Linked DNA regions of Drosophila melanogaster. The protein of the gene in region 1 interacts with the protein of each later gene in a pairwise test. Each region holds a gene or a part of one and is shown on either strand. Other genes may lie near its edges. The genes, in order: Lmx1a, Cyp312a1 and Fib.

Region 1 (11,676 bases):
ATCCCGCTGCGTGTCCTCTGCGCGCTCTCTCCCTCTCCTCCATCGCCCAGGACTCCTTTCTCGTGGCGGGTGCAGTGCAGCATATCTCAGACCCATTGTTTACACACTTCATATTCGGTGGAGGGAGTGGATACACATTAAATAAATAGTATGGTATTTTTAAAACAAACTAAATTGTATTTTATGCCTCATCTTCCTGCTTATAAAATGTGCTTTAAATCTATTAAGTACCCTATGAATCCCCAGATTCAAATTGAATTCAAGTCATCGCAATATTTTCGCTGCGTGTAGTAGGCGCGTGTAGTGTTGACAGTTTGCGCAGCATCTTAGTGTCTGTTGAGCAGCTGCCGAGATGTTCTTCTCTTGGCTGGGATGCCAATGAATATGCCTAGGTCCTGCGGAACCTACCCAAACTCCGAGTGGCGAGCCTTGCCAAAACAAACAATGACACCACCCGCTCCATCTGGGCGCTTTCCCCTTGACTGGACGCCAATAGTCGAGCTGTTGAGTTAGAGTAAATGTTTCCATCTAATGACCCCTATCCCGAACTCCTAACCCATGCTGCCTCTGCTGCTGGGATGGTGGTCCTGCCTGCCTAGAGGTCCTAAGGCATATTTTCAAGGAGTCTTGTGCGGTTCCTTCGGCTGGATTTTCTTTCTTGCCGCACGGCCACTTACCACTTACCACTTACCACTTTCCAATGCCAATGTCTGTGCCTCTTTAGCGCTTATCATGCTCAAATGGTAATTGAAGGGCCATAGAAGAACTATTTATCCTGAGGCTTCCGAGCGTGCTCTCCTCGATGTTGTTGCTGTTGTTCTTGTGGTTATTCAATATAACTCACTCGTTTGCCATTGATAAAAGGAGCAGTAGGCAGGGGGAGAGGTGAGCGGTACATGCACACAATGGATGCATTGAACCCAAACCCGAATCAGAATCTAAATGCCAACTCAAACCCAAAATAAAAGCAACCCGAGGAGCATTACTACCCTTTGCCATTTGTTTTCGGATGTTTTATTAAATTTGTTTCCAGTGCCCTGATATCATCATCCCCAGTTGGAAATCCTGTTTGCCGTCGAGTTTTATGACAATTTCCACTTTTTGCCATTGTCGTTTTTGTCAGCCGACTTCGAACTTATCGAGTGCATAATGTTGTCATCATTATTATGACGATTAGTGGATGGGTTTTAGGTTTTGGGTTTTGTATTTGGCTTGGCGCACAGTCGCCAGTTTGCCAGTTGTCAAGGTTAATTGAATTTTCGCTTAGCCTCGTTTTCCCTGTTGCCATCTAGTTGATATGGCAGGGCATATACATATATAAGCCAACTACTCGTGACTATCTTTATTGGGGGGGCACCAGTAAACCATAATTTCGTCACAGCAGTGGCCAGGATACTAGTGGTGGGATGGCCCTGGCCATTAACCTTATCTCCAAGCGATCCCCCGTTCCAATGGCTTTTACTGCCAAGGATTAATTATGCACACGCCTCCGAATTTTTGGTCTATTGCCGTCATAAAGTCAGTCAGTTCGGACTGTTGGACTTTGGACGAATACAATTGAGTGATTGCCGTGAAATGGCCGTAAATGTTTTATTTGCCTATCGGTGGATGGCGTTCTCTGATGACATTTTACGTTATCATAGAGAATTACCTATTGTACCTTATTGTATTAATTGCCTTAATAATTGGATAGCAATTTTAAATTTGGCATATTTATTTTTTGTTTAAAGGTTTTCGAATTTATTGGATCATATTAACCTTTAATATTTCTTTTCCAACGACTTTGTTTTTCCCCTATTTCCTTGCTACCGTTTGATGCCAACGATTGGGATTCAGATCTCGTTAGCTGCCCTCCTAAACTTCTAATAATTACTTTAAATTCAGCGCACACTTGGCAGCGACTTTGTTTTGTGGATACGAAACGGAAAGCATTCCCTTCAGATTGAGGGAAATTCGTGCAGCAGCAGAAGCAGATACTTTTCGCCGCCTTTGTTATAATTCCGCAGCAAGTGCGCACATTGCTGCTGCTGCTGCTGCTGCTGCTTCGGTGGCCTTTGTGCCAGTTGAATTCGGTAAATAAAGTTTTCAAAGTTGCACAAACTGGCAGCAACAACAATCCACAGAGGTGAAGTGAACCGAAGCGACTGGAAAGCGGGAAAAACAGGGCGAAAAAGCAGCAAGCAATGCCGATTCCTTGTACAAGTGCCGCTGCTCGATGCCAACAAGTTTGGTGAAAAGTCTCCCACTTGGCCAACTGGCAACCAACGGCTGCTCCCCCTGCGTCTGCTTCCCCAGGTATCCATGCTAAGCTACGGAGCACATATCCAGCGTAGGCGACTCCTTGGTTCACAACTTCCACGCCGGTCGGCAGCCCGCTGAGCCAAAGCCTAGTCTTAAGCCGAGGCCCAAACATCAAGTTACTGCCAGGCGATGGTGTGGTGGCCCAAAAGGGGGCCAAGAATTCGAGCTTCGACTCCAGAAGTAGCGCCAAACTTTTATGCACAGCACCATGTTTGGTTTGTCTTTCCAGCTTCCGCTTTTCTTCTTGCCGCTCGGGTTTCTCTTTTCCTTCATCCTTTCTCATCCTCGGTGATAGTATCTGTGCTTCAGTGTGTGCGTGTTTGCGGGGGCGGATAGTTGGGTTTCGGCCTCTTTGGGGGCGCCGGAAATGGGGCTGCCTCCCAGTTGTCGGTGGGCTTTTGATGCTCATACAGGGTGACATTGCCACTTCCGCTTTAAATCGCTGGAAATTAGAGGGGTATGAGCATTGAAAACTTAATAAATCTTAAATCTTGCTTAAAAGCAACTTTTATTTAATTTAAAGATATTATCGGAATAAGAATTCTATAAATGTAATTTCATAAAAGAAACTTATTTTTATGAAGTCTTACAACTTTGAAAACTGCTTAAAAAAGATTGATTTTGAAAAGAAATAAATAAACATCTTTTCTCTTTGAGTAACTACAATAAATAATGTCTTGAATCAATTATAAAGAGATTATACTTCAGTTTTACTAAGTTCTTTAATAATACTATAGTCACAGACTTAATCTTCACTTTTACAGTAGACATAATAACATTAATGGAATAAAATGTATGGAAATCATTATCCAGAATTCAAAACTAGTTCATTTAAATTTTAAGAATCCTTTAAGAATTTCAAAAAACTTTTGTTGTGAGACATTAGGTCCTTAAATAACCTGCCCAATGTATTGAGAAGCACCCGTTCCCATCTTGTTTATCGCCAACTTTTTTCACCCGCAAAAAGTAAAATGCAAGTGCAAAAAAGCGTAAAAGAAGACAAGGCCATTGTTTTTTTCTGCCTCTACTGCTGCCACTGCTGTGTTTGTTGCCTTTGTTGTTGCTGGCATTCTGGTCCAGTCGTGCCACTCAAAGAGCCAACAGCAGCAGCAGCAACAACTCAAGGAAATTGTCGCCGTCGAGCGGCAAACTCGCCAAAGTTGCCGCGAGTGCAAGTGCAAGTATGTCTTTGTGCCCCATCAGCAGCAGCAGCAGCGGCAGCAACACCAGCAACAACCAGCAACATGCAGCTGCCGCACGCCCACCGATGGCCGCCCACAAGCCGACTTGGTCTTGCATTAAAGCCAAGACATCTACGAATATGAGAAAACCAAATATAAAAAAAAACAAAAGAAAAGAAAACCCGCACTTCCCCTGCGCACATGCGCCGTGCGGCAAAATGGACGCCGGGGAAATGGCCAGCCAATCGCAGCGAGGCTGAGGTGTGGCCAGCGATTTGCGAGGGACTTGCTCTCTGCCAGAATTTCCCTCGCTGCTAATAATCACTTGAGACATGCGCACTGCCGGGGCAGAGAGGGGGTTGCTGCAACCCTTGCACCGATACAACCCCTGGCATCACGTGCAACACGAAGAGCTGCTGTTGTTGCCGCAGGCCAAGCGGCAGTTGTTGCTCCGCAGCTCCGTTGCTCCGTCGCTCCGTTGCTTTTGTAAACAGGCGCAGGCGCAGTGCGCGGGGGTACGTTTCAGCTGGGATTTTTTTTTTTTTTTGTGAGGGCAAAGTGAAATGCTTTGATTTCGCTGATGGTTCGATCACACGCCAACTGACAGCGAACGCGGCTGGTTGTCCTCGCATTCGGCAGCGCAAGAATAGGCCACCGAAATCATATTCTAAACGAAACTGAACAGAAGCGTAGTTAAAGTTAAAGCAAAAGCAATCGAGCGTCTTGTTTGTGTGTCGCGTGTTCCTTGTGCGGTGTTGCATGTGACATTTTCGTAGACTCGAAACTAAAAAAGTAACAGCGGTGTTTTGTGGCAACTCGTATACGATGCTGGAGTTCTACCCAATGCCCACGAATCTGAATCCAGTCGGTGGCAGTTTGTACTCGCTGCAGCAGAATCATGGCGGCGCGCGATTCCTGGACAATCCAAATCCCGGCAGCATGACTGCCAGCAGCGGCAACTCCCTGCATCTTAGCAATAGCAACAACAATCTGCCAACAAGCATTTCCGGCAACAATAGTCCCACGGCAACGGCTTCATTAACGGGGCAGCATCAGCAGCACCAGCAGCAGCAACATCAGCAGCAGCAGCAACACCCCCACCAGCAACATCAGCAACACCAGCAGCAACACGCTGCCTCGACCACGCCAGTGCCAATTAACAGCTGCCCCACGCCCACAGGACACAGCCCCCTCAGCAGCAGCAGCAGCAACAGCAACCACAACAATAACAACAACAACAACAACGGGGGCAGCAGCAGCAACAACCTCCACTCAGCCTGCAACACATTAACAGCTGCTGCTGTTGCCGCTGCCTCTGCCGCTGCTGTGGCAGCTCCATCGCCAGCAGGCACCTCAGTAGCCACCTCGCAATTAGGCGGAGCAGTTGCTGCGGCGATTGCTGCTGCTGCTGCGGCGGCTGCCGCTGCGACGACACCCACATCGACGGGCCCAGCGGCCACAGGAAGCGGAAATGCAAATGGCAGTGGCAACGGAAACGGAAATGGCAATGGCAATGGAAACGGGAATGGAAATGGGAATGGAGGTGGTGCAGCAACGGCATCGGCAGCAGCGGCATCCAAATTGTCTGCCGATTGCAGCGGACGCACAGGTATGTTCCAAAAGTATTTTGCACCGGCAGTCGAGCAATTTACCGGCTCGTTCCTCTTCTGGGGTTTTCACGCTTTTCGTTTTTGGCATACTTGCGTGTGCCCGGCCTGCGGGTCCGTTTCTGTATCCGCATCAGCATCCGTATCCGTGTCCAGGTTCGGTGCTGCGCTGCGTGAGTTCCAAGCTGGTCGGACGAGGCTCCAGATTGTGTACAACCACCCACACCTGAGTATGCCGGCAGTTTGCGTGCGATGTGCTCGGCTTTTTGGGGCCCAAGGAATGCTTCTCTAGGGGAAAATATATAGATATTCGTTGTTTTTTCTTGCGAATAAAGTTGAAGTGCTTATTTCAAAAGGTGTTTACTCCTGAAACTTTTCTTTAAGCGGAATATTTCAGCATTTATTGATTGCAGTAAAAATTAGCGTATATATTCATAACATTAAAATAATATAAGAGAAAAGTATTCTTCATATTAATTAGCCTAAAATCAAAAGTAAATAATAATTTAAAAAACATTAAATAAGAATGTTCTTATTTGTTACTAGTTTGCTTTTAGTTTGCAGAATGCAAGTAAAGTCAATTTGGTTAGATATATCATAGGTTTTGTTAATTATTATTGTATCAATATTAGCATAAATCCATGTTTAACTTGGAACTTAATTGCAACTCAGCTTTCAAAGAGTTGGATTTACTTTTTAGCAAGTGAAATAGCCAGAGGCAGATTGTCCACTTATGTAAAAACAGGCAAAAGCAAATGCACAATTTCCGGCTAACACGTACATATATATTGACAGAGGACAATAAATTATGAATTTGTAGTTGTGATGGCGCACACATGTTGTGGATAGTTCAGTGGGCGGATGTGCGGCAAGCATGGCGAAAGTATTTCCAAAAGTATGAACGCAAGTTGACCACAAAATAATTTTGACAATGAACCTGTCTGACATCCGCCCGGCACGGCCAAAAAGAGGCGTGGCTCGACCAATAAAAGGCTATTAAAGCATGCCACACACTGCCTCCCTCCCACACACACACACACACACACACTGATGCTTTGGCATGCAGGCACACATACACACACACTCGCATGCATGACAGCCTCAAAATAGGCAACACTTTTCAGCTGAGTTGCAACGAAAGTGTTGCTGGGGAAAACTTTTGCGAATTTCCCTCCGAAATGCAAAGTGTGCAAACAATGTGTGTGATGCATATGCAGACCAGACCTCGTCCGAGGCTAAGTGGATTGTGTTTTCGGTTTTTTAGTGCCCCTCATCCGCCCACTCAATCGCCCACAATAGCTGTGCTCTCTTGCCGGCCAACTTTGCATTTGCCTATGAAATTTCTATTAATGCTCGCATTCTGCCATTTGCTATTTGCCATTTGCCATTGCCCAAATGGCAGCAAATAGTTTCCGTTTCCGCTCGTTCCGTGCCACTACCCCAATCCACACACCACTCCCCGCCTCTCATCCTAAGCTCCATTTTCCTCGGCAAACACTTGGATGCCGGCTGCTAAACTACTATCGGTGGCCCACACTTTGCAGAGGTCGAGGAATTTCGAATGGGCTGCCATTGGGGGTGGTGTGCACTCGGGGGCAGACCACGGAAATGAGCACACTCAGTGTCAGGTATTCCACCGAGCGTATCAGCATACATATTTGGCTTCTGCGGTGGCTCCAGCTTCGTCTTCCTGTCCTACCCACAAACCCCACCCACCCAATCGCCAGTAGGTGTGCATTTGTGTGGCGGAAGTATGCGCCATACGCATAGTTCTGTGTCACTTTCCGTTGAGATCCAGCTACACTGAAACAAAACTGCTATTCAAGAACTATACGGAAAATCCACTGGAACTCACAAAGAGTACTACATTTGAGTTTAGAATGCAAAAGTCAATATATTTTGCAATCCCTATTTGTAATTTGATTAAATCTGTATCTTACATTTTAAAAGAGTAGTTTTTGAAGTTCATCCTATTTTATTCATTATTTTATATTATGATTAATACCATTTCCATGGTGTAGATAGCAACGAAGAGTTTTAAAGACCCTGTTTGTTTGTCAGTCGAAATGAAAGCTGTCGAATTATGAGCTGCCTGTCAACGATGAACTGCTGCCAAAATCCGCGTGGCACGTGGACTGGACTCCAGTTAGTGGCCGAATTAGTGCCAGAAGTTGGGTGCTGTCTGCCGATTTATCTCCATATAACCCCGCCCCGCTGTCAATGTGTCAATAAATGCACCATATAGTGCGACAATCGTGGGGCGTTCGGGCAGATAAGCCCCTTTATCGGCGATAACGACGAGGACACTTTTCTCTATTAGTTCTATGTTTATCGTCGAGTTGATTTTGGATTTATCTGCTGTTTAATCTATGTATTTGACATGAGTGTGCCGCACTTGTTCCGACTGTTTGCGCTTGTTGTTTGTTGATTTTTGGACAAGTTTCGCCCAGGCTTTACCATTCAAGCCCAAAAACACACACTCACTCAATGCAGAGTCCTTTGTTGGCCAAAACAATACAGAGAAATCGGAAAAAAAGCATACATAAAACTGCAGTAAAATGCCATAAATTTCGATTAGATTACACAAACGAAATCCCGTCACAATATCGATGCTCAAAGCTCTACAAAAACATGAGGCCAAACTCAAAACGCAGCTCCCCTCTGGGGTTTATCAAATGAATCATTCTTGATTTTTTGCTCGGCCCATGCAAAAACCTTTATCGCCAATGCGATTGGATATGGATACTGCACAATAGGATGAAATGCAAGCCAAAAAACAGAAAAAAAAGGAAAATAGGAAAATGCCCGAGGACATTGTCAACTTTCCGCTGCACTGGCTTAGCGCCCCCTTACATAGGGATTTTCGTCCCTATTCCCAGACTATATATCACCCATACAGCCACATTCGCGTAGATATGGCGACTGTGTGCGTTTGTGTGTGTGGGGAGGCCATTGTGCCAACCATAAATCATGCACATTTTTCTGCCACTGAGCCACAGCCATATAATATAACACTCCACTTCCATTGCCAGTTTCCCTCCGCACTTTTTCTCCACTTTCCCTCCGCACTTTCCCAACTCGCTGCTCATTTTTCAAATGCTTCCATACATTTTTCGTGGCGGTCGTCATATATTTTTTATGTTTACTGCATGCAGCTTTTGTTGTGTTTTTCGGGTACTACTTTTTATGACTGGTTTACAGTTTCAAGAGCTCCGTCTACGGGAGGATTAGGTTCGTTCTACTTTGGGTAAGGCGAGCTGAAATCCAGTAGCTCCTCAATGGGAGATTAGCATTTTTTAAGGGACTTTGTTTAGGAGTTAAGCTTTGGCTTAAGTTCGGTGGTATATACAATATCAATTGAGCCATTTTCTGGCATGTTTATATACATTGATAATCGAGATGGGGGGCTGTTCAATAATACCGAACAAATACGGAAAACTTTACGTTTCAATTACGCATCAATAAGCTTTCAATACAAGCTGTTGCAGTCCGACGACAGATAATTTTTTCCAGCGAAGAGTTTTCCTTCTGTTTTTCCATCGAAAGTGCGAAACAGCGAACGGAAAAACAAGAGAGACGTTGAAGCATTTTCACACGATTCGATTGTCAGCGCGCTCCTTGCTCCATTGGCAGCACATGTCATGATAATTTCGCAGCGACATGTGCCGCCATCACGTATACGCCACGTACGCCCATCACAGTAGGGCGAATAAGCGGAGTTACACTGGAACAAAATTACTAAAGTATTAGGATTCTTCTTTGAAATATTTCTGTTCTCAAGAAAATGTTTCATATATATTTTCCAAGTATGGGTTAAATATTCGATTAAATTGATTATTAATGTAGATAGATATATTTATTATATTTTAAACCTCAGTGTATTAGTTACTTGAAATGTATTCTGCGACTTACTAACGCGACTTTTTTCCCCCATCTTTGCTTGTTTCATCCCCAGAAGTGGGCCACATCAAGTGCGAGAAGAACTTCGAGCTGTGCGAGGGCTGTGGCCAGAAGATCCATGACCGATTCCTGATGAACGTGGGCGATGCCAACTGGCACGAGCAGTGCCTGGCCTGCTGCTACTGCGGAATGCAGCTGCACCACACCTGCTACGTGCGCAACTCGAAACTCTATTGCAAGATGGACTACGACCGGCTGTTCGGTGTGAAGTGCTCCTCCTGCTGCCATGCGATCCTGCCGCAGGAGCTGGTAATGCGACCCATACCGAACTTTGTCTTCCACCTGCCCTGCTTCGTTTGCTACGCCTGCCGATTGCCGCTCCAGAAGGGCGAGCAGTTCATGCTGCGCGATGGCCAGCTCTTCTGCTATCGTCACGATCTGGAGAAGGAGATGTTTCTGGCAGCCGCTGCTGCTCAGCACTGTGGGTTCGTTGGCCTGGACGAGGAGGATTTGCTGAGGCCACGGGATGGAAGGAGAGGTCCGAAACGACCACGCACCATCCTCACATCGCAGCAGCGCAAACAGTTTAAGGCCTCCTTCGATCAGTCACCCAAACCATGTCGCAAAGTGCGCGAAGCCCTGGCCAAGGACACCGGCCTATCGGTTCGTGTAGTGCAGGTGTGGTTCCAAAATCAGCGCGCCAAGATGAAGAAGATTCAGCGCAAGGCCAAGCAGAATGGTGGCTCCGGCGGAGGATCGGGCAGTGGGCGTGGCACGGGCAATTCCAGCGCCACCGACGATAAGGACACCAATGACAAGGAGGACAAGTGCGTCAAGCAGGAGCTCGGAGGAGATAGCTCCGGTTATTTGGGTGGATTGGACAGCACTTTCGCCAGCCAGCCGCTGAATCCCAATTTGCCCTTCTCACCGGATGGTAAGTGGTTCGATTTGAAGTTTGATTTCGTCCAAGCATTATTCTACAAGTACTAATGGCTTGCTTTTCAACAGACTATCCGGCCAACTCGAATGACAGCTTCTGCAGCTCGGACCTCTCGCTGGATGGGAGCAACTTTGACCAGTTGGATGACGATGCGGACTCGCTGTCGCTGAACAACCTGGAGCTGCAGTCCACCAGCTCGTCGGGCAACCAGCACTCGCACTCCCACTCGAATCCCCACGACATGCTGGCCAACCTGAACAACAGCCTGATAAACCCCATCGACAAGCTGTATCTCATGCAGAACTCGTACTTCAGCTCGGAGCATTAGATGGCCATTGGCTGGAATGACAGGGAAGCACCGAGGCGATCGTGGGATAGAGACGAATTTATTAGCGTTAGAGTGGCAGGATCCGATGGAAAAGGGACGCGAGGTCCTTGCTGTTACTTTAAAACGTAGCGCGTAGTTGGCACCTTCCGCATTCGGCGCATTAAGTTGGAGTCGTAGAACCGGATACAAGATACATCAAATGTGATTTTTTTAAGCTAATTGAAATTTTAAGATTCTTGGCGATTTGAAGGCGCAGAAAAACGGGGCGGGCAGCACATCTTTTTGTTGGTATAGACTCTAGAGGCAAACCAAAAAAAAAAATGTATAACTCCTTGAGAAATGGCAAAGTGGTCAATGCGCCCTCTTATGTTTGTAAATAGTTTTAACCACCCGAGAAAATTGTTATTAAATGTAATTTAAAAGTCAATAATTGTATTAGCAAGTGCAATTTAATCTGTTCCCCTAAAATATACATCTTAACCGAATTCTTGCAAATGTCTGTGGATCTTATCTTCGAATTAACGGATGCGTTCAATATTTTAAATGGGTTGGGATTGACTTGCGATTGTTAATATTTTTATTTCGCATGATTTTCCTTTATTTCTTATTTTTTATCCTTCGTCTTTTATCGGTAATATCGTCTCTTATTTTAAAAAATTAATTTTTTTTTTATATAATTGTAAGAATATTTATTTATTTATTTCGTATTTATTTACACAGCCTAATTTATTTTAAATTTTTTATTTGCCGTATTATCGAAAAATCCATTTAAGATGCGTTGATGCTTGATAATAAATAAAGAGCACAATAACTAAAAAGAAAACTTATTGCGTTTACTGTATTTACTCGACTGCGAATATATACACCTTTTTTTTGTGAATACTATGAATGCCTTAGTAAAGCTTCATAAATTGACCGAAATATATTATTTAAAAACCATATTTTTTTGCCCGCCAAAATGCTGCCCGTACAAAGCTGGCTTTTATGAAACTCGACCAATAGCGACGACAAAGCGTTGCCACATGGATAGAAATAATTAACAGATGGCAGCTCAGCTACTGCTTAATTCCTTTTAAGCCACACAGTTTAAAGATTTAATATACATTAATTTTTGATCAAATTTTATGAAAGTAATATTTATAAGCCAAATGTTAATAGAATATCGTTACTCACAATCACACATGAAATGTATCGATATGTATTTTTTAAAACAGCGATCGATAGTTTTTTATTTTTACAGTGCACATCTCTAAAAAAAAACAACGCGTTCGTCGAAATTGCAATAAACAATAACAATGGTACAAAACCGAAATAACTGTGAATTTAAGAATTAACATTAACGCTTTATGTAATCTGCAGCTCTTTTACTCCTTCTTCAAGTCGCTGGTGGGCAAGGAAGTCGTTGTGGAGTTGAAAAAC
Region 2 (10,313 bases), 5.8 Mb from region 1:
GCTGAAACCGCCTCAAACGCCACGAAAAAATGAACACAGACCGCAGGAGCAGGAGGCGACGAAGTGAAAGACACCGCCCGCGGCTTCCATTTACAGCCCGCCTAATTTATGCTAAACGCGTCGCGTCTTTGCATTTAATTGTGAAATTAAATTTGATGCGATTAATGTTGACACAACATGCGATTAGTGCTTGAATTCTGCACTGTAAAAACTTTTTAAATGCAATTATTTTGGTGGCATTTTGCAAAGAAATTAAACGTACTTAGAACCCAAAGAAGACAGAAAAATTGTAAGAAACATACATACAAATACACATAAATTATTTGTCTTCTATATGTATAAAAAAAGCACAATTCCTTGTAGTATTATTCGCTGCGCTTAAATGTATTTATGATACTTTCTCTATTTATTAACAAAAGTTAAAATTTTTAAAGGTGTAATCCTTCGCCCACTTGCGGTTGCCCTTTGGGCTTTGCTCGGCTCACCTTTGCTGAGAGATGGAGATACTGGCAGATATCTATTAGCCAATCGCCTTGCATTTGGCAAATTATCGTTGTTTATAATATGACAATATTGGATGGCAGCGACAGCGACATGGACAAGCCTTACATAAACAATAATTAAATGTAGCCAAATTAAATTTTACACAAAAGCAGAACACAAAGTGACAGCTGGGCGGTCCCTTCCACGGCCTCCTGGCCCATCTCCAGCTCCCTCGTCCTCGACTTGGAAATGTCTGCATAATTATGTGGTGCAAGTGGGTGGGTGGATGGGAATGCCTCAGTTGAGTGGTCGAGGGCATGTGTGAGTGTCGTGGCTGATAATTTGCAGTTTAATTACAGAACACCGATGGCCACAAACAACAATGACGAGGGGAAGATCGAGTTACCCAGCACTCGATAGTCAAATACTCTAGCCGCAACTCTCTTATAACTTCAATAAAATAAATACATATTTAAAATCGAATAAGCCAAGTGGATTCTGTATTTCCTATTTAAGTATGACTGGATCCGGGTTTTGAAGTAAATAATATTATAAGACTTGTGACCATACAAGTACAATACATAGGAATGCAAAGAGTACTCATCGCATGGCCAACACTTTGCTGCATAAATTCAAATTAGTTTGGTACAGTCCTATCCCAATATCAAGTCCTTGCTGGACTCATCCTATTCGAGCCTCACCTCCTTTCGTGGCCACGCATCACTTTTAATTTCGATGTGAGACAATGTTCTTGGTCCTGTCAGGTGCATAACTGCATTATGTCCTTGTATGTGGCATAGGCGTCCTGTTCGCGTGCGGAGGGGAGGATCACTGTTTATTGGCGTCCATTAGATAAGGAATTTACGCGAACGCAATTGTTGGGCTTCGCTTCGACTTCAAAGGGTTATTGTCGTGCTTTGTCCATTTAGTTCCGATTAGTGGCATTGAGTGGCATCCGCGATTATGCGGAGGCATTGAATTGAATTTATATAGGCGCAAGGGGCATGAAATATTCGAATGCAATAGAACTATGTTTTTTAAATTTTAAAGTATTTATGTCAGTAATAAAATTTTAAATAAATTATTTATAACTTCAACATAACTGCGTTAATGAACCTAAAGGTATGCTGCACATTTTTTCATTTTCTTATGAGAACTAAAATACTTGCAACATTCTTATGTTGCACACATCTTAACTAAATAGTAAATAAACACAGTTTATTTAATATTAGGAACTCAAATAAGTATTTATTTCTTGGCTGAAACTAGGTTTAACGTACTTTTTATTAATAAGTTTATAGTAATACAAGTTTGTTTACTCATTTGTTATACACACTATCGTGATTACACATCTGAAAGCTGAGCCTAATAAAATAATTTTAATTAAAATCATACGCATGTCATTCAATGTCCTCTTATTTAAATAAAAATTTCTGAAACGCCGGAAGAGAAGGGAACTGAAACACAGAGATATGTATATACACAAGTAGCGAATTGAAGGATGAATTATTTTTGTATAAAATGTTGACCAGCGAATATTAATTGCAACCCAGACCCATTCGCTTTAATTACAATTACTCTTGTTCTTTTATTGTGTATTTTGTCGGCTGATAACTTTTTTCGTGTTAATTAGTGTAATCGTGGAGCAGGGGAACTACCTTAGTTATTGTACCTGTCACTATTTGTATATTTGAATTGAATGGCAGTTGGTCGAGAGGAAAACCAACAACACAAACTCCTGAAGAGTGTATTAAATGACAATCACAATAAAGTTCCCATAACTGTAGAGCGAATTTTAATGAATGTGTATTCTATGCGTAATAATGAAAATAAAACAGATATTATATAATTGACAAATATGACACACTGTTTACGCATTAATTGCGGGGAGTTAAAGCCAGCTATACTCGTACAGTTTTGTTTGTTCTTAGCTGATGACTCTGATAATTGTAATTTTTTTCAATTCAAAACTTTAATTCAATAAATATTCACTTCATGTTCGTTAACTGTATTTGTTGTGGTATTTTTTATTGGCATATTTCCAAGCATTTATCTTCATTACAATTTTTGTGGTAGGAAACTGATCAATATCCTGGTCAGCCCACTTCGTTATTCCCAAATCAGGTACTTTCTGTAAGCTAAATTCTCTTATCTTTGTTTATAACATTTTAGGAAATTGAAATCACAATTTCTCTCCACGTATGCACATAAATGGGTGGCCCCAGCGCAATAATTCGTCAAGTTTTATGAGCTTTATGAAATTGGTATGCAACCGACAAAAGTACAATCGAAATTATAATTCAGCAAATTAAACGATGCAGCATCGATGAAATTGAAGTGTATTTGCTTGCGAATTTTGGCATGACGAATCTTGAGTTCAGGGATGTTACTACTTAGTTAGATGTTGTAAAAAAGAAGAACTCTAAAAGCTCAACTATTACAATGGAAACAAAAGTCAATATATTCTAAAAGTATTTTTGTTTTCTTGAAGTTTTGCTATACAATTGGTTACCGTGAAAAATATACTAAAATGGCTTAGCTGCAATTTGCTATTACAAGATTATATGATCCTCATACTTCATCTATATTCATCATCATATATTTCATTAGGTATTCTTCTACGGCTGCAGTAATTGGAACACTTTAGTGTCTTATATCATAACTTTAAAGTTAAAAGTAGCAAATGTATAATAGAAATTTCAAAATAATAGCGAAAATTTGAAGAACTTAGCAATGCTATCCTAGAGCATTTCGAATCCGACTTAGAAATCTACGATTCACCGATTCTCAACGTATTGTTTACATCTCCGATGCCCGATGTTAAGTACTTAAGCGACTGGGGGGCGAGCAAAAAAGAGTCACTTCAATTTCGCTTCCACATCGATTTGAATACGCTTATAATATACATATTCGGGTGTAAGAAATTCGTATAAATAAATATGCGCAGTGTTAATAACGCAGTCGACCCGACAGTTGCTCTTAATCGCGGCGCTTTTGCGCAATACTAAGCCAGTGCAGAATATTTAAGATCGTTTAGTTTGTGCACTCAAAAAAAAAAAAAAAAAGAGAACACCAGACAGTGGTTATTTGAAGATGTTAATGTAAAAATCCAATACTACTGTGAATGGACTAATATTATAAGAGTCAAATGATTTTATTCAAATACTATTCACCTTTTGACGGGTTCGCTTATGAATTGAAATAGAATGGTGTTAAAAGAAAAGACATAAAATGCACATCGATAACTAATTTTATTTGGCACTTTTATGTGACAATTAATCATTTAGACCGCGCATAATATTACAAATTGAAAAAACAAATGAATGATCACATTTTACTGTGAATAGTAAATGACAGCTTGTGAGAAATATGTCGCTGTACACTATTTTTTAAATTTATACACTGTGCACCGATTCGGTTTGTTTTTTCTTGTGTAAATTCGCTTGTTACCCAACTTTTATGACCCTTGGGTCCGGTGACCCTTTAGTAACCGTCTGATCTTCGCGTCTGTGTTCCGCTTAAAACGCTTGATGCGACGCTTCAACGAGGCAGTTGCTCTTTAGAACGTCCGTCGCAATGTTCTGGCTGGGATTCGGATTGCTGTTGCTCGCGTTGTCCCTATACCTGCTATATGTCTTCGAGCGGCAGAGCAGGATCGACCGGCTCACCCACAAATGGCCAGCCCCACCGGCCCTGCCATTCATTGGCCATCTGCACATTCTAGCCAAATTGGTGGGACCGCATCCACTTCGACGAGCCACCGAAATGATCAACGAACATCTACACGATCATCGAGCAAAACTATGGATGGGCACTAAGCTCTATCTCGTGGACTGCAATCCCAAGGATATACAGGCTCTGTGCAGTGCCCAGCAGCTGCTGCAGAAGACCAACGACTATAGGGTCTTCGAGAACTGGCTCTGCGAGGGTCTCTTCACCAGTGGATTCGAGAAGTGGTCCCATCGCCGGAAGATCGTAATGCCGGCCTTCAACTACACCATGATCAAACAGTTTGTTGCCGTCTTTGAGAAGCAGTCGAGGATTCTTTTGACGAATGTCGCTAAATTTGCCGAGTCCGGGGATCAAATTGACTTTCTGCAACTGATCAGCTGCTTCACTTTGGACACTATTTGTGAAACGGCCCTCGGAGTCTCTGTGGGTTCGCAGTCGAGCGCCAAGTCGGAATACCTCGATGCTGTTAAATCGTAAGTAAACTACACGTGTATTACAAGTCCCTTAGAGACAACTTAGTTTGTATTTAATCAGCAACTACGGTGTGATGAATCATAAAATTTTCGCACATTAATTAAACAAAACAAACAGTTGAGAAGATATAAAAGACTCATCCAGCACGCTTGTTCAATAAAAATTTCGTAACCCATTATAGATAGCTTAATTGTTTATTAGTCAGACCTTTTTTTTATTTACTTACTTGGAAGCCATAGAAAAAATACAAGTTACAGGTTACGTTAGTTTTTAATATTGATATTATACATCTTCGTTTGCTCACAGAATCCTTGTCATCATCGATAAGCGACTGAAGAACATCTTCTACCGCAACTCGTTTATTTTCAAACGCACATCGCATTATAAGCGAGAACAGGAGCTGATAAAAACGCTTCACGGATTCACAGAGGGCATTATACAGAAACGTATTGATGAAATCAACCAGGATGCAGAGAATCGCAACTACCAGAGCAGTGATGCGGAATTGGACGGAGTGAAGCGGACCCTATGCTTTCTGGACACCTTGCTACTGTCCAAGGGTCCCGATGGCAAGCCTTTGACAGTCAAGGATATTCGCGAGGAAGTGGACACCATCATATTTGGGGGATTCGATCTCACGGCCACCACCCTCAACTTTTTCATGTATAACATGACTCTTCATCCGGAGCACCAGCAGCGATGTCGCGAGGAGGTGTGGTCGGTATGCGGCAAGGACAAAAGTGAACCCATCTCCATAGAGCAGGTGCGCCAACTGGAGTTCCTGGAGGCGTGTATAAAGGAAACTCTGCGGATGTATCCTTCAGGTCCACTCACTGCCAGAAAAGCCACAGCCAACTGCACAATCAGTAAGTACATATTGTTATTTGTTCCTAGTTATATATATACAAATATTTTAAACTTTCTAGATGACTTCTTCATACCGAAGGGTAGCGATGTAATCATTTCACCAATTTACATGGGACGTTGCAAGGACTTCTTTCCGGATCCGATGGTCTTCAAGCCAGATCGCTGGGCAATTGGAGCGGAGCCCAAAATTGAGGCCACCACTTTTATACCCTTTATGGCGGGGGCTCGGAGTTGCATGGGCCAGCGGTATGCGATGGTCATGCTCAAAATGGTGCTAGCTCACCTGCTGAGGAACTTCCTGTTCGAGCCCCTTGGCGAGCGACAGGTGAAGTTGAAGCTCAACTTTGTGATCACGCTGCATACCGTTGAACCCTATCTATGTAGAGCTAAAAATCTAGATTGAGGCTAGCCAAAAGTTTTTCACTTAGCCAATACGTTTGTCAATAAAGTTAGGTATTATTGTAGGTACATTCCGCTTATTCTAGTCTTTTGTGTATTTTTTTTCCTTCAGTTAAGCTGCTTCTACATGGCCCAAAGATTGCAGGTATTCTTTCTGTAAATTATGCCTCCTTAATTAATTCAATCAAACAGATAGCACACTCTTTTTAAAGCATTTTTATCAGGGATTCTTTTAAGAAAGTTTAATTTACGAAGGCTTTTCAACTTCAAACTTATTATGAAGCTTTTAGAATAGACCGCTATCAATTCGTTTCACTTGGATCCTTTCAAAGCGTTTACGTTTCATTGCGACGCACAACATTTCCGTTTTTAATGATATACTCGTTTAAAAAAAGAATTCTATACGATTTGAAGTATTTTTTCGCCTGCTCATTTTTATGCGATTTAAGCAGGGCGCGTTCGTCTAGAAAATAATTTCTGGCTGGCGTGGATTTTTATTGTGGCAACCGAGCAGCGGAAAATCAACAAACATTTCCTGGCGCTGTAATAAATAAAAATGCATAAAGCAGCCACCAAACCGTCGCCAGTCAGTCACTCGGTCTGCCTGATCCTGCCACATCCTGCCTTATCCTGGGGAAAATACACACACTCCCACTCCCGCCGAATCGCCATTATCCACCAGCATCATCATCGAATTCCGGTGCAAATTATGAGCGTTGCCTGCTTATTATTGCGACAGCCACGGGGGCGCAGGATAAGGCGGAATATAAAATGCAATTTATTTAAATAAAAATCAAGTTTAATTCGCAGTGTCGTAAATTTTTCTTTTATTTTTTTTTTTATACTCTTCAGCTCGTCCCGGGCATTGAATTTCACGCTTTTGTTAACAAGCGCATAAAAGTTTGTTCTATCTGCCAACTGATACGATTCTGGCATTCAGAAGCCCCAGCAGAAGGGGTTAGAAGACTGTTGAACTCAGTGGCTGATTGGTGGTGTGAGTTTCGGGGGTGGGTTGATTCTCATATTATGGCCGGTACATGAGAACGGAAACGATTTCAGCCAATTTCCAAGCATTCCAAATCGATTTTAATCAATGATAAAAAATACATAACAAAATATCAAGCCATTTTTTAACAGAGAAAATAGCTTAAAGGTTTTGAAGAGTTACACCAGTAGTTGGTAGAAATAATACTGTAATTAAAGAATATTTTCAAAATGCCAAGAAAATTTTATTTCTAAACATACAACAAACAATGTATTAAAATGTGTTAAATATAAGTTGTCTTAAGTTAAATAATCAATATGCGAAATAAATGTCTGGTCAAACGACAAAATAAAAAGGTGAACAAATTTTTATTCTTAACATAATTTAAATAATTTTCCCGCTAAACCGGATTTTAATTTTGAACCCGGTAACTTTCGTTTTTCGTTTTAACGAAATAAATTTTGTAACTTAAAAAAATGAGTGCATTTGATGACGCCCAGTTGAAATTTTATGACCACCCCCACCACCTTAGGCCCGTTTAAAATCCATCTTGAAATTAAAATATGCGCCTAAGGAACATGTTCCCAAAAACTTTGAGTGCTTGGCCAACATTTTACGATCGTTTTATTGGTTATGCAATCGCGGAGGGAGGCTTTAACCCTTCTGTTGGCACCCGCCATAACTTAATTATCCATATGAATCCTTGCCGGCTTTTATGGCGACCCAACCCCAGCGGCATTAATTATGATGAGTACTTGGTGGTGTCTCTCCTTTTTAGTGTCAGCTGTCTCATATTTTTATCTATCTTAATTCGCAGATCTTCACGGTGGCTTTCTCGTCGTGTCGCCGCCCATTAAAGCGATATGGAATCCAGGTCCGAATCCTAATCCCGGTCCAGACTTGACTTGATGTTTTATTGCTGCTGACTGGGCGCAGTTTTCATTTACACAATTTTTATGCCCAGCATCTGTACATCGGGCATAAGTTTATGATGGAGCATAATTCACGGCGTGGGCATCGTCAATGTTTAATGATCAAAAAGGCCCAAGGCGAGGGTTCTTAATTATAATGAATTCGGGAAGTCTGGGGTTGTTTTGCATTACACATTTTATTTTGGACTGACTTGGAAATGAATGCAATAATCTGTGGATGTATTTCGCAAAATTTCAGGTATTTCAGGTATTATCTAATATCAATGAAATTATTCATTATATTTTTATAAATAAGTGCAAAAATGTATTGATTTTATTGACTTACTAAACTGTCGAGAATCAAGGCTACTTCGAAATACTGTTACCAATTAACAACAAATTTTTTTTACAAACAAAATTCATTTGTCGTCAAGACGAAAGTGGCTATTACGGCCACATGTGGTTTTGCTTGCCGCTTTCCGGTTAATTCACAATTCTCATTGTTTCAAGTTAAGTAAACCAGTCGGCGCCCCAAAATGAGAAAACAGATTAAACCCTCCGAATTGTGGTCGTTTGAGGTGAGCTATGGCCAAGTGATGTGTGATGGGGCTTGGGGTTTCATGTGGGGGGATGTGGTTTTCGATAAGATGGGTGGGTGGGCGACTTTGAAGTAATCGGTCCCGGTGACATTGCCCTACGGCTAAGCCTCATTTGTGGTTAAATTGTGTCGCCGGTCGGCTGCTGAAAGTCGATTATGTCAATATTGTCCTAGGTTTACGACGGCCCCACGGCTAATGGCTAATGGATGGTGCCCATTTGCTTCTGGATCGCATCCGGGGTTTGAGAATGCATATTTGCGATAAGCTGCAAGTTTGCGGCCAACTTGGCCGCAGCTCATATGCTAATTAGTGTGGCATACTTTAAGGCCGCTCACCGATACGCATTAAATCGCAAAACTTTACGACGTGAAAAAGGGGGCGGCTCCCAAACGCCCATATGCGAACAATACCGCTATAAACTTACTGTGGAAATGCATAAAAATGCGTCGGAATACATTTACGAATCGAATTACAAGCGAGTTGCGAAAAAAAAGGGAAAGAAATAAAAGGAGTAGCTGTGCTACACATTAAAAACGCATAAAAATCGGCCAAATAAAACACTACAACGGACAAAACCGAATGGAAAAGCTACACATAAAGTGGCTATGAACATAAAAATCTGGATGGCATTGCAATTGGGCGGGGATGAGGAGGTGGAGGAGGCTTTTGCACAGAAACCAATTGAAGCAATCAATTAAAATTGATCAACGAAATTGAATCACGTGTTACAATTTTCCGCATCCACTTACATCATGTAATCATCATACATTTATTACATGTAATAAAGTTACAATAAAATTCAAGACCATTAAATTGTCTCAAGCTGGAGATTTTGTTACTTTAAAGTGATTTTTTGTTAAGTATCTTTCACCGCTAAAGAAATCTATTTTGAATATTTTTGATTTATTTGTATGCCAATTGCAAAAGTGGTCCCTTAAAGCTTATAAACAATGCTAAAGAAAGTTTTACCTTTCCAGCGAATTTCCGAAAGGGAATTCGCAAAATGCAAAGCAGAATCGCAACCGTTTTGCTAATGTAATTAACCAGTCTGCAAGTAAATGCACAAAGCAAGAAATTAGTAAGGAAATTGGGTAGAGAAAGAATGGTAATGGCTCGCCTAGAAAGGGGTAAGAAAATTACAAACTGTTGGACCAAAATGTCAACTTAAACTTTTTATGCACCGCCGGGAATAGGAAAAAAAGCTGAAACACACAGCTGTCTTGGTCAGAAGGTGGCTAATTACACTGCACAGCAAACAACGAAATGAAGCAGAAAAATGCGACTGGAAAGGAAAAATTAAATGCAGTCCCTTAGGGGACGGAATTTGTTTTGCTGAAGACATTAAACAGAAGCCAAGCCAAGCCAACAGTGGAAAATTCCCGGCACGTAGGAGTCACAAAAAATAGTGATACAGAATTAATTAAAAACAAAAATTGCTTAAGGAAATTGTATTTTATCTATATTATTGCAGATCCCGAGACAGGGAAAATTACGCAGCTTGTCAGCAGCACATGATGCGAAAACTCAAACCAGCCACAGAACAATAACAGAAAACAGTTCGCCCATATTCAGTAAAGTTTTGTGTGTTTTGCATAAAGTTTTGTGGATCTGCAAGCCAAACATTTATACATGGCAGCCACTTGAATGTAACAAGCCAAAGTTCAAAGCTCAAACTTTTGCCCGCACTTCAAACACCGAAGTAGCAACAATGTTGTGCCCCATATCAAATTGCCACGGATGCATGTGGGTGCATTGAGTGTGGTCAGGGTGGTTCAAGTTGGACAAACGGAAAGTTGGGCTCACATAAAAGCAAAGGTGCCAGTTCAGTTCCCAAAATGTTTTTGTTTTTGGAACCTATTAAAT
Region 3 (8,285 bases), on another chromosome or scaffold:
GACATTATTTCTTTAGTTACTTATTCTAAAGCAAAATTATCTCCACGACGCAAGTAGTTATGAAAATATATATGTACTTTACAAAAGGATAAGATAAACCTGAACCGCCTAAGATTAAATGTAGTTGTCCATGACGCGGTCAACGTAGTTAGCATTAGAAAATAGTTTTACAGCTTAAAAAGCTTAAAAAAAATGACAATAGCTTCGATGCATAGATCAGATATCATACGTGGATGAGCCATAAATTGCAGGGTATACGCTAATGAGCTGTAGAGCAGCTTGTATTGAACATCTGTTGTTGATCTGCGGTTGAACCTTTAATTACCTCCAATTCGCTTCTTCATTTTAAGCACTTTATAGTTGGTGACTTTGGAAATTTGCATGCTTGAGTAAACTGTAGTCCCTGCACTTTGTACCCGGCAAATGATTTCGGTTTCCAATCTCTCCCAACCTCGCTTCCTCTGCAATGGTGATTTGTACAGATAAGCTTAGCTTACTTTGTATATATTTGTAAACATATGCACATATTCTAATCGTTGTTTTGCAATTAGTGAAGGCTCATTAACCGCTTGAACTAACCATACAATTAACGATATTATTAATTTATGTCATCAATATTCCAGTTCCATTGAACTACTGCCCTTATCCTGGGGCACACTTCTGGATCCACCCTCGCATTCAGCAAGCTCAATTGAGCTGGGGCACAGCTTTTTTCACGATTCAAATCATAATGGCGCCCCAATGCCAAGCTTTCGCTCGATCCGCCAAATGTTCGTGTTCTGTGTTTATTTTTAGGCGGCAAGTTGATACCCAAGTTAAAACTTAAGTCTGGGTATTTCGGATTCAAAGATAGTCACTATACACTCATCTATAAAGGTTAGTGTTAGCTATCAACAAATTAGGGCAGAATACTGCTTAATATAAAAAGAATCCTGTTAAGTTAAATTTCACATGGTATCTTTTAGTCGAGACTAAGAGTTCACCTTTCGCAAATGGGACTGAGGCTTCCAGTGCCGCAATGTAATTTAAACCAATGCCGCAAAGAGTAGAAAAAACATATTCCTCCCTATACACACACACACATCAGCTGAAATAACTATGTACCTTCCATGGGGATTGGGAATGTAAGCTCGCCTCAATTCCGCTCAACTATCCGTGATCGTTCCACTGGATCGCTGGACTATATGCTATATAATGTGGATCAGTCAGTCGGTCAAAGTCGTTGCACCTGCTTAGTTTTATCTTCGATATGGACTTCCTAATTGAAATAACATTACTGGTCATATTGGCAATTATACTGCTGAAGATCTATCATCGGGCGAAACGTGTGAGTGGCCATACAATTTGGGGTCGTCGGTCAAGTTCAAAGTGTCAAGCCAAAGTGAAAGTGTGCTCCAGCATTAAGTCACGATTTGTCTCAATTATAATGAGCCTCATTTAACTCAATAGTGCGGAAACTGTTAGGTCACAATAATGTTTCACTAATCTAAATTGCAACTGCTTATCGTCAGACTTTGCGGGGCTATCTTCGAACTTATAATGCTATCAGTCGGCTTAGCCTTGCTGAAATGGGGGAAAAGAACCTAAAACCTTTGCACCTCCTTCATTTGGTCACTTGCCTTCGTGCTTGCTACAAGCAACTTCTGATAACTCGCCACTGAAAACGGTATGAAAATAGTCTAGTCTTTTGATTTCCTTATAAATCACAGTGTTTGAGAGTTCGAAAAGTGATCGTAGTAATTGAATATCAATCGCGGTAACATGATTCCATGAAATAACCAAATGCACACACACCTGGGCTTATCTTATCACAAACAGCTGTTCATGATTGTAACGTGTTGAGCGAGTTTCAAGGTCAGCAGCTGTTGCCGAGGATAAATCAGTGCTAAAATACTTAATATAAGTATTCCCCCTAATTTGCATGGATTTGGGTGCCCCCGCTAATCTGCAGCCGATCGGACCATATTAACCACTTAAGCTTTCATATCTTATCAGTTAGCTGCTCAGTTAGTGACTGGACCTATCCAAACTTTGGTTCGCAGGGCGATTAGTTCATGGAATAGCCTAGGTGTAATCGCTTGGTCGCACATTTGAAGAGCGGAGAGAATCGAAATCGTATGCATATTTGCTTAGTTATTGAATTCTAAACGTATGCCTTGCACTCCAACTTGTTTGTTGTTTCTAAAGTTTCATTTTACCCACCCAACGCACTAACCATCCCGCATCAGCTGTGCCCGAACATGACTAATAGCCCGTTTCTCCCGAACTCAGAGTGCCATGGCGCCGTCGAACAATCGCCGGTACTTATCCTCGCAGGATATTACCAAGAACATGACCCTGTACACCAGCACCAAGACCCAAGTTGAGGTGGATCCCAAGACGCTGGCCTTCAAGAAGCCCACTGGCAACCCACTGGTTCTCATGATGGCCTGGCTGATGGCCAAGCAGAAGCATCTGAAGAAGTATGCCCAGATCTACACTGAGATGGGATTCGATGTGGTGGTGGTGCACATTACGCCGTGGCAGCTACTCTGGCCGGTCAAAGGATCCCAGGTAATAGCCGCCCTTCAAAGTTTACATTCCAAGTTGAGTCATTCAAACACTAATGCATCCATTTCCTGCTGACCAGGTGGTGGCCGCCGAGACTATTCGATTCCTGGAGAACAACAAGTCGTACGAACCCATTGTGATGCATGGCTTCTCCGTGGGCGCCTACCAGCTGGGCGAGATCATGCTGCAGATGTCGCGCGACATGGATCGCTATGGTAGCATTCTGGACCGCTTCGTGTGCCAGGTGTGGGACAGCGCCGCCGACATCACCGAGATCCCGGTGGGCGTGCCCAAGTCGATCTTCCCGAGGAACGAGCGAATGCAGAGCGCCCTGCGCAACTATACGCTGTACCACCTGAAGACATTCCACAACCAGGCCACCATCCACTACATGCGCTCCAGCCAGATGTTCCACTCCACGCTGCTCAAGGCCCCGGCGCTGTTCTTCGTGTCCGACAACGATCCCATCGGTCCGCCGTCCTCCAACCAGTCCGTTCGCGAGGACTGGGAGCGTGCGAACATCAAGGTTACCTTCAAGTGCTGGGAGCGGTCCCAGCACGCCGCCCACTATATACGGCATCGCGAGGAGTACCTGCAGACGCTGTTCCAGCATCTGGAGACCTGCGGTGTCTTGGAGGCCATCGGCGTGCCGAAGCGCGCCAAGTTGTAGGTGTCTCTAACGAGGAGCGGCTGATCAGTTCAGTGATATACATTTATTCAAGAATCAATGCGATTATGATTTTACCCTAGTTGCTAAGACCTAAAGATTAACGAGCAATGTAAAACCAATGTCCTCTTTGAATGATTATGATCTGTGTGTCTCTCGCGAGGCAGAATCTTCAAAAGCCCGCACGGGAAATTCCTAGGCTAAGCTTAAAGTCGTATTTCATCAACCGAGAGAAGAATGCACTACGCCTCTATATTGTTACATATATTTTGAGATCGCTGCAAAACAGCTAAATAAAGTAATTTAAATGATACGAACACATTAAATGAGTGTTTCAATCAAGTATGTGCTGGTTAAACAAGTATTTTCACAAGATATATGCGATGAAAGATTCTTAAAAGGTCTGAAAAAATATCTCGGGTTAAAATTGGTTCGACAAAAAAAAAACGTGTTACAACTACACTATCGCTGCGGACAGGACTTGAACCTGTGCGGGTAGAACCCAATGGATTTCAAGTCCATCTCCTTAACCACTCGGACACCGCAGCCTTATTGAAGTCCGCTCCATTTGTCACTGATATCTCTCCCTGCATAATTCTATGCTGATAAGCATCTGAATTTCTGCAAAGCGATGACAGTAAATCACTAGATATTTGAATGCAGAAATATGCAGTTCAATTTCTTCAATACCACAAGTTTTAGTTTAATTGATAGCTGCTCTTCATGACATGTGCTCATACTTCTATATGTAAACTATTAGCTTAAGTGAGAGCGAACTAAAAAATAATGTATTGCTACATTATTTTATTTATTTATGTATTAAGCTAATAATCTTTATGGATTCATTAGCCCCACGTGAACGAAACTCCAATTTTCATTAAGAATGGCTTAAGCCGAGACACCACCCCGTGAATAGTTCTTGGTTCGTGTCTGTATAAATGGTGCGTCATACCTGGCGAAGATAGGTGAGGGGGGTGCTGAAATCTATGCTTCATACCAAATAGGAACTTTGCCACCGGGGCGACACAGTTGCGGTGTCCGAGTGGTTAAGGAGATGGACTTGAAATCCATTGGGTTCTACCCGCGCAGGTTCGAATCCTGTCCGCAGCGCAGAACTTTTTTTATTTTTTATTTATTGTGAATTTGCAGAGGGTACTAATAGCTGACCTTAATATTTCTTTGACATTTCATTGTTAAGCATTATACTTTCTGTGATGAAGATGAAAACAAACTAGTGTATACCAGCCTTGCCCAACCATTTTCCGCAATACCCCTCAGAAAAACCACGTTTGTACAAAGATTGACTTTAAAGATCTTCATCTTTCATAGGAACTCCATATTGTTACACTGGCATTTGGTTTTTGTGTATATTTTGTACGTCTGCTACAAAAATAATGTGCATTTTGATTTATCTTTATAACTACGGTTTTATATTTAAAAGAAACTTAATACAACTCGTCTGTATTAGTACAATAGCCTTAAAACTAAACCCAGCAGAAAACGACTTCTTACTGCTTGGGCGGTGGTCGGTAGACGCCAACGACAACGGCGTGGTCTCGCTCGTAGGGCTCCAGCGTGAGCTGCTCTTGGGGCTTCAGCTTGTCCGCCTGCATCTTCTTCACCTCGGCAGCGAATACCGCTTCGGGCTGCGCCGTCGAGTCGATGCAGGAGGCCTTGATCGAGATGACAAAGTGTCCGCCGTTCTTCAGGAAGTGCTGGGCATTCAGCGCCACAATGCGGCCCTGATCCGGCTGGGCAACGTCGGCGAAGATGGTGTCCACCATGCCCACCAGCATGCGGTACTTGTGTGGATGGCGAGCGTCCTCGATGATGGGTATGATGTTGGTGCGCTTCTTGGCCACGTTGATCAGATCGCGACCGGATCGGTGTGAGAACTCCACGGCGTAGACCAGGCCCTCGGGTCCCACCACATCGGACACATGCGAGACTGTCGTTCCGGAGGCGGCGCCCAGGTAGAGAACCTTCGAGCCCGGCGGCATGTGAATCTGCTCGACGCCACCCAGAACGGCGGCAGCCAGCTTGGAGCGGAAGGGATTCCACACGCGGTACTCAATCTTCTCGCCATTGGTCTGCAAAGAAGAACAGATTTAAATCCATTGCTCTTTCTTAAAAATTATAGCAGAAAGCAAGAAGTAAGTAAGTTGAGTGAAATACAGAGTTGTTTGGATTGTTCAGGTAGCTTCAAATCACTTTTCAAGATGGTGGACTTGTTTGGGTTCTGTTTGTTTTGGGATAGAAGGGTAGATAGATAGGAATTCGCCTCAGTTGTGCATTATTCTAAGCAGCCCTTGGAGCTCCGCGACTGCTTCACGTGCACCTGAAGTGCACACAGCCACAGGTGACCGCCAAGGATGCTCATGGCCACATGATGCCATGTTCTGTACCCCTGCACAACCTCATCATAAGCTAGGAATAGGGAAGGTAAGTGAATAAAGATGAGAACAACAAACCTCAACGGAGATGCGCTTCTCGCCGTAGACTTCGGATCCAGGTACAAAGTTCCTGGTGACCAGAGCGTCCTCCTTGCCGCGCGCAATGAACACTCCCTCGTGACGATGCGGCTCGATGGTGACGGTCTTGCCGCCCTTGAAGCCGCCAGCACCACCACCACGTCCTCCTCCGCCGCGACCACCGCCTCCACGGCCGCCGCCACCGCGACCACCGCCGCCGCCACGTCCTCCGAAGGCACCACGGCCGCCGCCGCCACCACCACCGCGACCACCTCCTCCACGGCCACCACCGAATCCTCCACGGCCACCGCGATCGCCGCCGCCACCGCGTCCACGGCCGCCTCCAAATCCACCGCCTCCTCCGCCGCCGCCGCCACCACGCCCACGGAATCCACCTCCTCCTCCTCCGCCGCCGCCGCCACCACCGCGTGGACTGAATCCTGCAATAGAAAAGATCCGCATTTGAATTTCGGTTGACTCAGAGGTTAAGTTGGAGACTATCAAAAGCAAAGGCGACGCCTGCTTCGATTTGTATCGTTAGAGCGTGATTTTACGCACCTGGTTTGCCCATTTTATGTTGCTGTACTTGCACTTTTTAATACAACTTTCGACGAAATGTGATTGAGTCCGTCAACACGCGGCAACCAAAACGCTTGAAAAGAAAAACACGTGTGTGCCGGAGTGTGGCCGCAGCAGTGATTTTAGTGATAATATACAGAAGTACAAAGGCGAAAATACCAAGAGAATGATGTTAGTGTGTGTGTTAGGTGGGAAACTTGGCTGGGACTGTAGCTAAGTTCAACACCAGGCGGAGAGGCAATTGTGCATAGTGGTACAAAGGTTGAAAAACTGTACATTTTATTCTTGGATATCTTGCAAATAATGTAATTCTTTTTTTTTTGTATTCAATTCAAAAATTGATTGATCAATTAAATTATTGATTGATTTATTAAATTAATTTAATTTTTATGAGCCACTACATTATTATATTTTACTTATTTGATGCATGTAACTATGGAAGTATATGATTAATAATTACAATCCCGTAGTCCTTGACAATGACCCCAGTGCCTTGGAGATCTAGTGTTCGTTGACCAAACAAACAGCCACTTGAAATCGATGTTTGAGAAAAACGTTCCATTCCGCTTTGAGAGTTCTAGTTGGGAGCACACACTTTCTGAAATTGTTAACGCATAAATCCTGCTGTTTTACCTAAACTTTTGCAAACATAATGGCCTTCCGCTCGGTGGTTACGATGGAGAAGCCGCTCCAGCACATTTCGCTGACGGACTGGTATGCCCGTGTGAACCAGATGCGGAATGTGGCGGATGCCCGGAGGTCGGACGCCTTCGCCATCCGCCACTCATCCCGATCCTTGAGGAACGAGACGCGGATCGAGGGCGACTGGGCCAACTACGAGACAAATGAGGCTCTGACCGATCGGTGAGTGTCCATATCTTATATTAAGATTAACAGCACGATTAATAATCTGTAATTTATACATCAGCATCTCCGAGTTGAATCGCTGGCGGGATATCATTTCCAAGTCCTTCGAGAAGATCGAGCGCGAGATATTCATGCTGCAGGAGGAGAAGAATGCCACGGAACGGGAGCTGGAGGCGTTGGCAGGTCCGATTTCCGTGATAGCCGAGTGCCTGACCATAAGGGACGGTCGCCTCGGATCGGAGATCACCTACGATGAGGCCGACACCGAGATCAAGAACGAACTGGTCGTGCTGGAGAACAACCAGCGCCTGCTGGCCGATCGATGCCAGAAGGCGTGGGAGAAGCTCAATCGTCTGGAGGAAGTGCGCTTCAAGATCGGCCTGGAGATCGAGTTCAAGGTGGAGGCGGTGCAGCTGGACAACTCACAGCTGGCGCTCGATCGCAACTCGGCCAATATCTCATACAAGCCGGATCCCACGAGAAATCCCAAGAAGTAAGTCACACATGGAATGTCCCAGTAGCTCAGTAGGATAACTAACCAATCACTTAGCTCCTGTTCCTACGAGTCCTGGCTGGAGAACGTGAAGAACATAAAGCTGCTGGCGGAGAATGAGCTGGCCGACACGTACGCCATTCGGGAGGCTTTGTTCGTGTGCCGCGAAAAGGCGCGCAACATGCTGCAGTCGCAGCAGGAGCGGGCGGAGCACACCATCCGCAAACGGATCTTCGAGACGCAGCGGGCCAGAAACGAACTGGAGTGGCAGCAGCTCAAGATGAAGGAGGAGATGGAGAAGGCCATGTGCGAGATCCGCACCTCGGAGAATGCGCTGCGTGACAAGACGGATGCACTGAAGCTGGCCGAGACACGCCTGGAGAATCGTGCCCAGAGGTCGGGCATGGAACTGTGCATGGACCAGGCGCACGACATGCTCTGCTTGGAGGTGGAGAAGCTGCGAGAGATACGACGCCGACTGCAGGTCAAGATCGACGAGAGCAAGACCAACTTTAGTCTGCTGGAGGAGCACGGCAAGCGAATCGACGTGGATCTGGAGAACAAGCAGCACTCGCTGATGACGGACATCAGGGCCCTGGACTTGCGCATGCGTCTCCGGGGCGGCGAGTTCGGCTCCAAGGTGGCCAACGCCTCGCAG

What was found.
Region 2: the proteins of Lmx1a (region 1) and Cyp312a1 interact in a two-hybrid assay, tested with the Drosophila melanogaster proteins (one large-scale study listed by BioGRID).
Region 3: the proteins of Lmx1a (region 1) and Fib interact in a two-hybrid assay, tested with the Drosophila melanogaster proteins (one large-scale study listed by BioGRID).

Annotation. Positions count from the first base shown.
Region 1 is NT_037436.4:12,325,163-12,336,838, forward strand, and holds Lmx1a (LIM homeobox transcription factor 1 alpha), read left to right. Parts: upstream 1-4,069; 5' UTR 4,070-4,307; coding exon 4,308-5,091; intron 5,092-9,044; coding exon 9,045-9,923; intron 9,924-9,997; coding exon 9,998-10,257; 3' UTR 10,258-10,739; downstream 10,740-11,676. Other genes in the region: CG10418 (uncharacterized protein), read left to right, coding at 11,553-11,555, 11,617-11,676.
Region 2 is NT_037436.4:18,125,813-18,136,125, reverse strand, and holds Cyp312a1 (cytochrome P450 312a1), read left to right. Parts: upstream 1-3,436; 5' UTR 3,437-4,059; coding exon 4,060-4,688; intron 4,689-4,995; coding exon 4,996-5,555; intron 5,556-5,615; coding exon 5,616-5,959; 3' UTR 5,960-7,186; downstream 7,187-10,313. UniProt on the Drosophila melanogaster protein: May be involved in the metabolism of insect hormones and in the breakdown of synthetic insecticides.
Region 3 is NT_033778.4:23,068,336-23,076,620, forward strand, and holds Fib (fibrillarin), read right to left. Parts: upstream 6,391-8,285; 5' UTR 6,260-6,390; coding exon 6,247-6,259; intron 6,129-6,246; coding exon 5,689-6,128; intron 5,634-5,688; exon of another isoform or gene 5,494-5,633; intron 5,308-5,493; coding exon 4,726-5,307; 3' UTR 4,574-4,725; downstream 1-4,573. Other genes in the region: l(2)k09913 (lethal (2) k09913), read left to right, coding at 2,272-2,553, 2,630-3,220; CG3085 (uncharacterized protein), read left to right, coding at 6,920-7,131, 7,196-7,627, 7,685-8,285. UniProt on the Drosophila melanogaster protein: S-adenosyl-L-methionine-dependent methyltransferase that has the ability to methylate both RNAs and proteins. Involved in pre-rRNA processing.